Linked DNA regions of Anolis sagrei. The protein of the gene in region 2 interacts with the protein of the main gene of each other region in a biochemical or structural test. Links are inferred from orthologs where the notes say so. Each region holds a gene or a part of one and is shown on either strand. Other genes may lie near its edges.

Region 1 (7,195 bases), on a different chromosome or scaffold from region 2:
CTCAACCTTCCTAATGCCACGACCCCTTAATCCAGTTCCTCATGTCGTGGTGACCCCCAACCATAACATGGGGGGATTGATTTTGTCATTTGGGAGTTGTAGTTGCTGGGATTTATATTTCATCTCCAATCAATGAGCATTCTGAATCTCACCAATGATAGAATTTGGCCAAACGTCCCACACAGAATCTCCATGCCTTAAAGGGGCTCTCTGGTGTGGGACTCCCTCCAGCCTCACACGCTCTCCCTGACCTGCACGTGCGCACCATGCTGCCATGGGCCAAGCACACCTGCTCTCCCTCCCTGCTTGGAGTCTCAGAAACAGCCCTTCCCTTGGCTGAGATGCCGGCCAATCACAGCAGAGGACGGCTATGCCTTGAAGGGACATGCTGGCACGAGCTTCCCTCCAGCCTCGCATGCTCTCCCTCGCTCGCACTGTGTGCCATGCTGCCATGTGCTGAGCATGCCTGCTCTCCCCTCCTCGCTTGGAGTCTCAGAAACAGCCCTCCCCATGGCTGAGAGGCTGGCCAATCACAGTGGAGGAAGGAGGGCTTTTGGTGGGAGAATTCGCCGAGCACGCCTGCTCTCCGCTCCCCTGTTTGGAGTCTCAGAAACAGCCCTCCCTTTGGCTGAGAAGCCGGCCAATCACAGCGGAGGATGGCTATGCCTTGAAGAGACATGCTAGCACATGCTTCCCTCCAGCCTCGCACGCTCTCCCTCACACACACTGCATGCCATGCTGCCATGTGCTGAGCACGCCTGCTCTCCCCTCCCTGCTTGGAGTCTCAGAAACAGCCCTCCCCTTGGCTGAGAGGCTGGCCAATCACAGCAGAGGAGGGCTTTCGGTGGGAGGATTTGGGGTCTGTTTCCAAAAAGGAAGAGCAGGACAGGTGGAGAGATCTTCAGCCTTCTCTGCCAAAGGGGTTCATCAGACCATCAGAAATATATGTTTTCTGATATTCCTTGGTGACCCCTTTGAAATTCCCTCTTGACCTCCCCCCCCCAGGTGTTCTGACCCCCAGTTTGAGAAACACTGCTCTAGTGTGCCACAAAACTACATATCCCAGGAGGCAGCCACAGCAGTGAAAGTCCTGTCTATACACTGCAATTGTTTGGTGCAGTGTTTCTCAACCTTCCTAATGCCAGTCCCTCATGTTGTGGTGACCTCCAACCATAGCATTGTTTTTGTTGCTACTTCATAACAGTCATTTTACTACTGTTATAAATCATAACTAAATATCGGATATGCAAGATGTATTTTCATTCACTGGACCAAACTGGGCACAAATACCCAATGCACCCACATGTAAATCCTAGTGGGGTTGGGGAGGATTTATTTTGTAATTTGGGAGTTGTAGTTGCTGGGATTTATAGTTCACCTATAATCAAAGAGCATTCCGAACTCCACCAGCGATGGGTTTGAACCTAATTTGCCACACAGAACTCCCATGACCAACGGAAAACACTGGAAGGGTTTGGTGGGTATTGACCTTGAGTATGGGAGTTGTAGTTCACCTATATCCAGAGAGCACTGTGGACTCACACAATGCTGGATCTGGACCAAACTTGGCACAAATACTCAATATGCGCAAATGTGAACACTGGTGGAGCCTGGGGAAAATAGACCTTGACTTTTGGGAGTTGTAGTTGCTGGGATTTATAGTTCATTACAATCAAAGAACATTCTGAACTCCACCTATAGAATTGGCTCAAACTTCCCACATGGATTCCAGATGACCATCAGAAAATACTGTGTTTTCTGATGGTCTTTGGCGACCCCTCTGACACCCCTTCGTGACCCCCTCAGGGGTCCCGACCCCCAGGTTAGGAAAAAACACTGGTTTAGTGCCAGAGAGAGCTGTGTTACATTTGTCACTCAACAAGGGAATTGCTTCCTTCCCTTTGGAATGTAACTGTTACTTTTCAAGTTACTTTTTAACTATGGGATTGTGTTTTGTTCTATGTAGCATCTTCTGTGTTTCTTAAATAGTAACTAAAGGATTTCATTGTAGCTTCTGTTTCCTTTCTCCCTCTCTCTTTCTCCACAGCAATTCCTTCCTTTCCTTTGCCTTCCTTTCTTCTCTCCCCCTCCTTTCCTTCCTTCCTTCTTTTCTTCCCTCCTTTCTTTTCTCCTTTGCAGCTGCTTCCTTTCCTGACTCCTTCCTTTTATCAGCATAGCACTTTCTTCCTTTTCCCCTCCTTTCTTTCTGTCCTGCTTTCTTTCCTTCTCATTTTCTTCATAGCCATTCCTTCCTTCCCTTCCTCCCTCTTTCCTTCTTCCTTCCCTCCCTTCTTCCTTCTTTCCTTCCCCTTCCTTCCTTCTCCTTTTTTCACAGCAATTCCTTCCCTCCCACCCTCCCTTTTCTTCTTCCTCCCTTCCCTTCTTCCTCCCTCCCTTCCTTATTCTCTCCCTTCTTTTTTTCTCCACAGTCCTTCCTTCCTTTCCCTCCCTCCCTTTTCCTTCCTTTCCCTTTCCTCCTTCGCTCTTTCTTCTTTTGTCCATAGTCCTTCCTTCCCTCCTTTCTTCATTGCTTTTTTCCTTCCTTCCTTTTCTCTCTCCATAGTCTGCCCTTCCTTCCTTCCTCTCTTTCCCTCCTTCCTTCCTTCCTTCTTTTTCTTCATAGCAATTCCTCCCTCCCTCCCTTCCCTTCTTCCTTCCTTCCTTACTCTCTCCCTCTCCCTTCTTCTTTTCTCCATAGTCCTTCCTTTCCCTCTCTTTCCCTTCCTTCCTTCCTTCCCCTTCCTTCCCCTTTCCTCATTCGCTCTTTCTTCTTTTCTCCATAGTCCTTCCTTCCCTCCTTTTTTTGTTGCTTTTTTCCTTCCTCCTTCCCTTCTTCATTACTTCCTTCCTCCCTCCCTTCATTCCTTCCTCTTCCTTCCCTCATTCTTCTTTGCTCCATAGTCAGTCTGTCCTTCCTTCCCTCCTTCCTTCCACTCTTCTTTTCCTCCCTTCTTCATTCTTTCGCTCCAGCCTTCTTTCCTTCCTTCTCTCCCTCGCTTCCTTCCTTGTTTCCTTCCTTCCTCCTTCCCTTCCTTCCATGCTTCCTTCCTTTCCGCCCTCCTCCCTTCTTCCTTCTACCCTTCTTTCTTTCCTTCTCTCCTGCCCTCCTTCCTTCCACCCTTCTTTTCCTCCCTTCTTCCTTCTTTCGTCCCACCCTTCTTTCCTTCCTTCCTCCTTCCCTTCCTTCCATGCTTCCTTCCTTTCCTCCCTCCTCCCTTCTTCCTTCTACCCTTCTTTCTTTCCTTCTCTCCTGCCCTCCTTCCTTCCACCCTTCTTTTCCTCCCTTCTTCCTTCTTTCGTCCCACCCTTCTTTCCTTCCTTCCTCCTTCCCTTCCTTCCATGCTTCCTTCCTTTCCTCCCTCCTCCCTTCTTCCTTCTACCCTTCTTTCTTTCCTTCTCTCCTTCCCTCCTTCCTTCCACCCTTCTTTTCCTCCCTTCTTCCTTCTTTCGTCCCACCCTTCTTTCCTTCCTTCTCTCCCTCGCTTTCTTCCTTCCTTCCTCCCTCCCTTCCTTCCATGCTTCCTTCCTTTCCTCCCTCCTCCCTTCTTGCTTCTACCCTTCTTTCTTTCCTTCTCTCCTTCCCTCCTTCCTTCCACCCTTCTTTTCCTCCCTTCTTCCTTCTTTCGTCCCACCCTTCTTTCCTTCCTTCTCTCCCTCGCTTTCTTCCTTCCTTCCTCCTTCCCTTCCTTCCATGCTTCCTTCCTTTCCTCCCTCCTCCCTTCTTCCTTCTACCTTTCTTTCTTTCTTTCTTTCTTTCTTTCTTTCTTTCTTTCTTTCTTTCTTTCTTTCCTTCCCACCCTCCCTCCCTCCCTCCCTTCCTTCCTTCCCTCCCTCCTCCCTCCCTCCCTCCCCTCTTTCCATGGTGCCCTTACCTGTCGGTGCCCTTGTTCGGCCACTAGGGGGCGGGCTTCCTCTTTTTTCCGGGCTGAGCGCTGTCATTTCCCTTCTTCCTGCTCCTCCTCCTCTTCTTCCTCCCCTTCCTCCTCCTCCTCCTCCTCCTGCTGGGCATTGTCGGCGAGGGGCTCCCAGGGAGCGGAGCCTTGGGCCTGGCTCTCCCTCCCTCCTTCCTTCCCCCGGCCCCCGGGTCCCCCCTTTTTCCTCTCCTCTCCTCTCTGCTCCCCCTCCCTTCCCTCCCTTCCCTCTTCTTCCTTCCTTTCCTTCCTTCCTTCCTTCCTTCTTCCATGGCGGAGACAAAAATCATCTACCACATCGACGAGGAGGAGACCCCTTACCTGGTGAAGCTTCCTGTCTCCCCGGAAAAAGTCACCCTGGCCGATTTCAAAAATGTCCTCAGCAACCGGCCCGTCCACAGCTACAAATTCTTCTTCAAGTCCATGGACCAGGATTTTGGGTGAGTCAGGGGGGCTGGGCAGGGAGGGAGGAGAAGGGAAGGGGCCCTTTTGGTCCTTGGCATCCCCACCTCACCCTCCCTTTGCTGATACTGAGGGACCTTGAATGGTGGGACCCTGGATGGTGGGACCTTGGATGGAGGGACCCTGGATGGTGGGACCTTAGCTGGTGGGACCCTGGATGGTGGGACCTTGAATGGAGGGACCCTGGATGGTGGGACCTTGGATGGTGGGACCCTGGATGGTGGGACCTTAGCTGGTGGGACCCTGGATGGTGGGACCTTGAATGGAGGGACCCTGGATGGTGGGACCTTGGATGGAGGGACCCTGGATGGTGGGACCTTAGCTGGTGGGACCCTGGATGGTGGGACCTTGAATGGAGGGACCCTGGATGGTGGGACCTTGGATGGTGGGACCCTGGATGGTGGGACCTTAGCTGGTGGGACCCTGGATGGTGGGACCTTGAATGGAGGGACCCTGGATGGTGGGACCTTGGATGGAGGGACCCTGGATGGTGGGACCTTAGCTGGTGGGACCCTGGATGGTGGGACCTTGAATGGAGGGACCCTGGATGGTGGGACCTTGGATGGTGGGACCCTGGATGGTGGGACCTTAGCTGGTGGGACCCTGGATGGTGGGACCTTGAATGGAGGGACCCTGGATGGTGGGACCTTGGATGGAGGGACCCTGGATGGTGGGACCTTAGCTGGTGGGACCCTGGATGGTGGGACCTTGAATGGAGGGACCCTGGATGGTGGGACCTTGGATGGAGGGACCCTGGATGGTGGGACCTTAGCTGGTGGGACCCTGGATGGTGGGACCTTGAATGGAGGGACCCTGGATGGTGGGACCTTGGATGGAGGGACCCTGGATGGTGGGACCTTAGCTGGTGGGACCCTGGATGGTGGGACCTTGAATGGAGGGACCCTGGATGGTGGGACCTTGAATGGTGGGACCCTGGATGGTGGGACCTTAGCTGGTGGGACCCTGGATGGTGGGACCTTGAATGGTGGGACCCTGGATGGTGGGACCTTGAATGGTGGGACCCTGGATGGTGGGACCTTAGCTGGTGGGACCCTGGATGGTGGGACCTTGAATGGAGGGACCCTGGATGGTGGGACCTTGGATGGCGGGACCTTGGATGGTGGGACCTTGGATGGAGGGACCCTGGATGGTGGGACCTTGGATGGCGGGACCTTGGATGGTGGGACCTTGGATGGAGATACCTTGGATGGTGGGACCTTAGATGGAGGTACCTTGGATGGAGGACCTTGGATGGTGGGACCTTGGATGGAGGGACCCAGGATGGAGGGACCTTAGATGGAGGACCTTGGATGGTGGGACCTTGGATGGTGGGACCTTGGATGGAGGGACTTTGAATGGTGGGAACTTGGATGGAGGGGCCTTGGATGAAGGGACCTTGGATGGAGGCACCTTGGATGAAGGGTCCTTGGATGGAGGGATCTTGGATGGAGGGGCCTTGGATGGTGGAACCTTGGATGGAGGTACCTTGGATGGTCTAACTTAGGTTTTGGCATCAGCTTGGATTCTATTCTGGAGGAGAAAGAGAGACCTAGAATGCAGTTCTAGGTCATTGAATTGAAAGCCAGGCCTAGGGGGACTTCCGTGTTGTTGTTATTGTTCCACGATGGGTAGAGAACAGAGCACTAGTGTGTCGCTCTTGGGTGGAGATAGGCATTATTTGCTTCTGGATGTTAAATGTTCTCAATTTGGTGTGGTTGAACTACAATTCCCAGAATCGCAAGTCAATCTCACCCCCAAACACTGTCAGTATGCACAGTTGACCATGTTGGGGGTGTGTGCTGAGTTTGGTCCATATCTCTCACAGGTTGGGTTCAGTGCTCTCTGGATAAGAGTGAACTACAGCTCCCATATCAGAGAGCAATCACCCCCAAATCCTAACAATAATCTCAGTTCACCATGTTGGGTCTGAGAGCCAAGTTTGGTCCCGATCCATCGTCAGCGGGATACAGGGCTCTCTGAATTAGGGTGAACTACAACTCCCAGATCAGACCCCGAACCCAACCCCGAACACTGCCAGTATGCAGAGTTGACCATGTTGGGTGTGTGTGCCAAGTTTGGTGCAGATTTGTCGTCGACTCGGTTTATTGCTTGCTGGATAAGGGCGAACTACAATTCCCAGATCAGAGAAGAATCATACAATTTCCAGAATAATGAGTCAATTCTCCCCTAACCAGGCCCGTGTGCACAGTTGACCATGTTGGGTATGTGTGCCAAGTTTGGTCCATATTTGTCGTCGACTCGGTTCAGTGCTTTCTGGATAAGGGCGAACTACAACTCCCAGATCAGAGAGGAATCATACAACTCCCAGAATCATGAGTCAAGCCTCCCCAAACTAGGCCTGTATGCACAGTTGGCCTTGTTGGGTGTGTGCGCCAAGTTTGGTCCAGATCTGTCACAGGTTGGGTTCAGTGCTATCTGGATAAGGGTGAACTACAACTCCCAGATCAGAGAGTGATCACCCCCAAAGCCTGACAATAATCTCCGTTCACCATCTTGGGTCTGTGAGCCAAGTTTGGTCCCGTTCCATCATCAGCTGAATACAAGGCTCCCTGGATAAGGGTGAACTACAATTCCCAGATCAGAGGGCAATCACCTCTAAACACTGCCAGTATGCACAGTTGGCCATGTTGGGTCTGTGTGCCAAGTTTTGTCCCAATTCGTTGTTGGCTGGATGCAGGGCTCTCTGGATGCAGATGAACTACCACTCCCTGTGAACTACAACTCCCAGAATCATGGGTCAGTCCTCCCCCAACCAGGCTTGTATGCACAGTTGGCCATATTGGTTGTGTGTGCCAAGTGTG
Region 2 (7,459 bases):
TGTGAGTTCCCTCATCTAAGGCCTGATTCTCTCTTCTCTGGTCTGCAAGTCTCAGGGTGAAAATGTTGCCTTGAAAATATGCTTTAAAATAAACTATGTGATGTTGCCCCACCAGTAACAGAAGTGACTTTGGAAAACTAGTGTAGATTCTCCCAGATCCCTTTGACTCCCTTCCTTCCTCTCTTCCCCCTCTGAGGCCCCTTCTACACTGCCATGTAATCCATATTATCAAATCAGATAATCCACATTATCTTCTGCAAACTGGATTACTTTATTTTGCCTTATTGTAACTTCCTGGGCTTGCTTTATGTATACTGATTTGTTGGAAACTGCCTTGAGTCGCCAATTGGCTGAGAAAGATGGTATGCAAATACAGTAAATAAATAAATAAATAATAATAATAATAATAATTATTATTATTATTAGAAACACAACAAGGAGTCCACAGCAGACACTCTGCTGGCTGTTGAATTGGATCACACGTTGGACACTTCCCAAGTGTCTAGGACTGTGTGATGTATCGGCGAATAATGGGTGCAGATCCCAGTAAGGTGGCCTTTTGCAGCTGGCAGATGGTCATTTTGTCAGCGCCGATTGTGTTTAAGTGCAGGCCAAGGTCTTTAGGCACTGCACCCAGTGTGCCAATCACCACTGGGACCATCTTGACTGGCTTGTGCCAGAGTCTTTGTAGTTCGATCTTTAAATCCTCATATCGTGTCAGCTTATTATTATTATTATTATTATTACTATTACTATTATTATTATTTATGAGTCTACACTGCCATATAATTAAGTTCAAATCAGATCATCTTGATTTTATATGGCAGTGTGGAAGGGACCTCAGAAGGTTTAAATGGTTGAGTTGGGATCCGAACCCCAATCTCCAGACCAATGCTCAGACCACTAAAAGGTGAAATTATGATGGAAGCCATCATGTCTTCACAAAACATGGAGGCTGCCTTCTTCAGGCTATTTACTCCTGACTGGAGCCTCCAGTGGTGCAATGGGTTAAACCCTTGTGCTGGGAGGCCTGCTGACCAAAAGGTCGGCGGTTCGAATCCAGGGAGCAGGGTAAGTTCCCATCTGTCAGATCCAACTTCTCATGCAGGGGCATGAGAGAAGCCTCCCACAGGAAAGTAAAACATCCGGGCAACCTCTAGGCAACAACCTAGCAGACAGCCAATTCTCTCACACCAGAAACGACTTGCAGATTCTCAAGTTGCTCCTGGCACAAATAAAACCCCTCTCCATTACTATTGTCTCATTGAGGACCCAGAAACTAAACCAAATCTGCAAACACTATTCCAGATATAAACTAAAGCTAATATGGCAAGGGGAAGGAGCTTTAAGCGCTTTGTATAGCTGAATTTCGGTAAAATAACATTTCTGAAAGATAAGATGTCGAAGGAAGGAGTGAGTGTCTGCACTTCTGTGAGATTACCATTTTTTTTAAAAAAGGAGCTGCTCAAGGTTAAATTTGTTTATCTGTTTGACATCAAGAGGGCAGCTGCGCACCATGGATCAATTGATTTGCAGAGAAATAATTGTTCTCCCAGACAAAATCCAATATATAGTGTACGCATTTTTTTAAAAAAAAACTGCTTCAAGCCTCACTCAGTTCACCCTTCAGCATAGCCTTCCTTTTTATTAATTCTGAACATTTTTCCTGCCCTTCCTTCTTTCTATATATTCAAATCACATCCTATTCCCCCTGCCCCCCAACAGTCCAATCTATAATACATTTCCTGGCCCTGGTAGGGGAGGAGAAAGGAGAGGAGCTTCATGCATGCATTTAACTAATGATAATTTTAACAAACAGTATTTTGGACCACCCTGAGGGTAGATCCTGATCTTATAGGATGTTATTGTGCAAAGGATGGAGCAATGGGAGTTTGTTGTAAATAATAATAAAATAATAATAGGTTTGATTTATATCCCGCCCTCTCTCGCAGAAGGGACTCAGGGTGGCTTACAGCAAGTAACTGTTAAAACAATATCCAAAATATACTACATAGGTCAAATTAACATAGCTTAAAATAGAACTATTGCAATGACTGAAAACATATAAGAACAGAACATAACATAACAGCAACAACAAAAATAGCTGCTCTTGCTGGAATAAAAACATTACAAATATTAATATTTTACATATTATATATATATATATATATATATATATATATATATATGTGGGAGCCCCCGGTGGCGCAGTGGGTTAAACCCCTGTGCCGGCAGGACTGAAGACCGGCAGGTTGCAGGTTCGAATCCGGGGAGAGGCGGATGAGCTCCCTCTATCAGCTCCAGCTCCTCATGCGGGGACATGAGAGAAGCCTCCCACAAGGATGATAAAACATCAAAAATCATCTGGCGTCCCCTGGGCAACGTCCTTGCAGACAGCCAATTCTCTCACAACAGGATGCTCCTGCTCCTGACATGACAATATATATATTGTGTGTGTGTGTAAAATACTAGGTTATATATAATATATATTTATATAATATTTATATAGGATATATATGTAAAATGTTAGGTACATAGGATATATATATATATATATATATATATATGCACACACACACACACATATAATGTAATGTTATATATAGAATATATATATTTATATAATATTTATATAGGATATATATGTAAAATATTAGGTAGGTAAAGGTAAAGATTTTCCCCTGACATGAAGTCCAGTCGTGTCCGACTCTGGGGTGTGGTGCTCATCTCCATTTCTAAGTCGAAGAGCCGGCGTTGTCTGTAGACACCTCCAAAGTCATGCGGACAGTATGACTGCATGGAGCACCGTTACCTTCCCACCGGAGCGGTACCTATAGATCTACTCACATTTGCATGTTTTCGAACTGTTAGGTTGACAGAAGCTGGGGCTAACAGTGGAAGCTCACACTGCTACCCGGATTCGAACCTGCTTTAACCCACTGTGCCACCGGGGCTCTTTAAAATATTAGGTAGGATTTATATATATATATATATATATATATATATATATATATATAATATTTCTATAGAATAGATATGTAAAATATTACATAGGATATATATATATATATATATATATATATAATATGTGTATATATATATATAATATTTATATAGGATATATTTGTAAAATATTACATAGGATATATATATATATATATAGGAGATTTATATAGAATATATATATAATATTAGGTAGGATATATATATAATATTTATATAGGATATATATGTAAAATATTATGTAAGATATATATATGTATTTATATAATATTTATATAGGATGTATATGTAAAATATTACATAGGATATATATATCATATGTATATGTATAACATTTCTATAGGATATATATGTAAAATATTAGGTAGGATATATATAGTATATATATATATGTATTTTTCTAGGAGATTTATATAGGATATATATGTAAAATATTAGGTAGGATAAATATATATATAAATATATATATATAATATTTCTATAGGATAGATATGTAAAATATTACATAGGATATATATATAATATGTATATATATAATATTTATATAGAATATATATATATAATATTAGGTAGGGCATATATAGAATATATATATAATATTTCTATAGGATAGATATGTAAAATATTACATAGGAGATATATATATATATAGGAGATTTCTATAGGATATATATATATAATATTATGTAGGATATATATAAATATAATATTTCTATAGGATATATATGTAAATATTATGTAGGATATATATATCATATGTATTTATATAATATTTCTATAGGATGTATATGTAAAATATTACGTAGGATATATATATATATATATCATATGTATGTATTTATATAACATTTCTATAGCATATATATGTAAAATATCAGGTAGGATATATATATAGAGAGAGAGAGAGAGAGAGAGATTTATATAGGATATATGTATATATTAGGTAGGATATATATAGTATATATAGTATATATGTATATCTATAATATTAATATAGTATCTATATGTAAAATATTAGGATATATATATATGTAATATTTATATAGTATCTATATGTAAAATATTAGGTACATAGGATATATATATCTCTCTCTGTGTGAAGAAGGAAGACCAACGGGCTCCCCTTCCTCCTCTTGTTCTGCGTTGCTTCCCTCCATCTCCATTCAGCCAACCCTGGGCGAAAAAGTTTCTTTCAACTTTTCCAGCGATGGAATCCTCCTAAGGCAGGCCCCGCCCACATTCCTCCCCGCCCCTCCCCTCCTTTGATCGCCCTGCCCAATCCGGAGCCGAGTTGTGGAGACAACAGAGCGCGCCATTGGCCGGAGCAAGGGTTCGGAGACGCCGCCCCCTTCTCGGTCTTGTGAATGGAGAAGGGGAGAAAGGGGCGGGGCTAGAGAGAACGCTCAGCCATATAGGAGCCTTTTTTTCCCTCGCAGAGAGAGAGAGAGAGAGAGAGAGAAGGAGGAGGAGGAGGGAGGTCTCAGGGCGCATTCCTTCTCTGGATCTGGATCCCTGCGGAGGGGCCGAGGGAGCGATCGCCAGGCGGAGGGAGACTCCCAAGCGGCTTCCCTTGGAGCCTTTGCATTCAAAAGCGAGGAGAAGCTGCCGAGAAGTCCCGGAGGAGGAGGAGGAAGGGCGCTCTTGGGAGTGCGGGGCTTCTCCACGCGAGGAAACTTTTGGAGGTGGGTCTTCCAAGGGTGCCGAGAAGGAGAGACCGAGGGGAGACCTGCTTTGGCTTTGGAGAGGCGCCCTGGTGCTTCTCCCTCCTGGCGGGAGTCCAAACAGGCAGCGATCCGGTTTGGCTTCTTCTGGAAGGCTCCTCCTGCTGCTGAGTGGGCGATGCCTTCGGGGCCCTGAGTGGGAGAAGCAGCAGCACCATCCTCTGACAATCCTCCGGCATCCTCCTCCTCTTTGGCCTCTTCCCCATCCCCCAATGCTCAGGGCAGCAGCCATGGGCCTGTGGGGTCTGCTGGCCTTAGCTTGGCTGATGCCCCATGCCAGCCGTGGGCAGCCTTCTTCTTCTTCTTCGCAGGGCGAGAAGGGCATCTCGGTGCCGGACCACGGCTTCTGCCAGCCCATCTCCATCCCCTTGTGCACCGACATTGCCTACAACCAGACCATCCTGCCCAACCTGCTGGGCCACACCAGCCAGGAGGATGCCGGCCTGGAGGTGCACCAGTTCTACCCGCTGGTCAAGGTGCAGTGCTCCCCGGAGCTGCGCTTCTTCCTCTGCTCCATGTACGCCCCGGTCTGCACCGTCCTGGAGCAAGCCATCCCGCCCTGCCGCTCCCTCTGCGAGAGGGCCCGCCACGGCTGCGAGGCCCTCATGAACAAGTTTGGCTTCCAGTGGCCCGAGCGCCTGCGCTGTGAGAACTTCCCCGTCCACGGCGCTGGGGAGATCTGCGTGGGACAGAACACCTCCGACACCTCATCCTCCGGGGGAGGAGGGCGTGGAGCAGGCGTCGCCCCGGGGAGCCCTGCCACCGCCTCGTACCCCACAGAACACTTACCCGGACCCCCTGTTCACCCACTGCCTCCCACCACCGGTCACGCCACCTTCACCTTCTCCTGTCCCCGGCAGCTCAAGGTGCCCCCGTACCTGGGCTACCGCTTCCTAGGTGAGCGGGATTGTGGCGCCCCATGCGATCCTGACCTGCCCAACGGAGGACTCATGTACTTCAAGCAGGCCGAGGTCCGCTTTGCCCGCCTGCTCGTGGGCATCTGGTCGGTGCTTTGCTGCGCTTCCACGCTCTTCACCGTCTTGACTTACTTGGTGGACATGCGGCGCTTCAGCTACCCCGAACGGCCCATCATCTTCCTCTCTGGCTGCTACTTCATGGTGGCTGTGGCCTATGTGGCTGGCTTCCTGCTAGAGGACCGTGTGGTGTGCGTGGAGCGCTTCTCGGAGGATGGCTTCCGGACAGTGGTGCAGGGCACCAAGAAGGAGGGCTGCACCATCCTCTTCATGATCCTCTACTTCTTTGGCATGGCCAGCTCCATCTGGTGGGTCATCCTCTCACTCACCTGGTTCCTGGCGGCAGGCATGAAGTGGGGCCACGAGGCCATTGAGGCCAACTCCCAGTACTTCCACTTGGCCGCCTGGGCTGTGCCAGCCATCAAGACCATCACCATCCTGGCCATGGGGCAGGTGGATGGAGACGTCCTCAGCGGGGTGTGCTATGTGGGCCTCTACAGCGTGGACGCCCTGCGGGGCTTCGTCCTGGCCCCACTCTTCGTCTACCTCTTCATTGGCACCTCCTTCCTGCTGGCCGGCTTTGTCTCCCTCTTCCGCATCCGGACCATCATGAAGCACGACGGCACCAAGACTGAGAAGCTGGAGAAGCTGATGGTGCGTATCGGGGTCTTCAGCGTCCTCTACACCGTGCCGGCCACCATCGTGCTGGCCTGCTACTTCTACGAGCAGGCCTTCCAGGACACCTGGGAGAAGACCTGGCTCCTGCAGAACTGCAAGAGCTACGCCATCACTTGCCCTGCCGCCAACTTCGCCCCCATGAGCCCTGACTTCACAGTCTTCCTCATCAAGTATCTCATGACCATGATTGTGGGCATCACCACCGGCTTCTGGATTTGGACTGGCAAGACCCTCCAGTCTTGGCGGCGCTTCTACCACAGACTCAGCACTGGGAGCAAAGGGGAGACGGCAGTATGAGACCTAGACTTGTACTCCTATAGTTTGCCGGTCCTTTCCCACACGGCTGCTCTTCCTTCTTGTGGCGAAGGCATTGCCTGAAGGAAAGAGGGAGGGTGGCTGTGATGTGTGTGTGTTTGCGTACGTGCAAAGGGGTCCGTTGTTCCTTCATACTCTGCCTTTTCCTCTTTCCAAGGGATGGTTGGATTTCTACGTGCGGCAAACATTCCAACTTGGTCTCTCTTTCTCTTCAAATGTTTACCTTGCTAGCCAAGTTGGAGAGTGCAGAATAAGTGTCCTTCTTAAGACTTTGCTCTTCAGAACAGGTCTGTTTCTGATCCTGTGAGAATGTCTTTACTTTCCTCTACTTGTTCCCCCCACCCTGCACCCCAACCCCTTTTAGAAAAGAAAAAGAAGAAAGACAAATAACTGAAAATGCGATTCAAAGAGAAATGTGGGAATTATGCCAACGGGAAAGGAGAGGGAGGGAGAAGTGAAGGTTTACAAACAAAACAGAAATTAAGTCACATTTCTGTCTCTGGGATGGCAAACTGGACTTCCAGTAACTCATCCTCTCAAAATATAGACCCAAGAGGTGCATTGCCTCCCTCCCAGCCCTTTGTACAAGGGACAGAAATGGAGCAGCTGCTCCGAAAATTTCCCCATCAGTAGCTATCCTGGTTGGGAGGATTCTGGATATTATAGGGGAGTGGGTGGTAGTCACATATGGATGACAATTTCCAGAACCCAAAGGCAGAGATGCTCTGAAAACTCTAGTTAAAATAATTATAATTACTGTTTTGGATG

The links. The genes of interacting proteins can lie anywhere in the genome.
Region 1: the proteins of FZD7 (region 2) and DVL1 form a complex in vitro, tested with the Homo sapiens proteins (2 studies listed by BioGRID and IntAct, with this or other methods). The link is inferred for Anolis sagrei from reciprocal best matches to the Homo sapiens genes FZD7 and DVL1.

Annotation. Positions count from the first base shown.
Region 1 is NC_090033.1:5,369,074-5,376,268, reverse strand, and holds the start of DVL1 (segment polarity protein dishevelled homolog DVL-1), read left to right. Parts: upstream 1-4,097; 5' UTR 4,098-4,181; coding exon 4,182-4,351; intron 4,352-7,195. UniProt on the Homo sapiens protein: Participates in Wnt signaling by binding to the cytoplasmic C-terminus of frizzled family members and transducing the Wnt signal to down-stream effectors. Plays a role both in canonical and non-canonical Wnt signaling.
Region 2 is NC_090021.1:165,056,966-165,064,424, forward strand, and holds the start of FZD7 (frizzled-7), read left to right. Parts: upstream 1-4,442; 5' UTR 4,443-4,936; coding exon 4,937-6,673; 3' UTR 6,674-7,459. UniProt on the Homo sapiens protein: Receptor for Wnt proteins.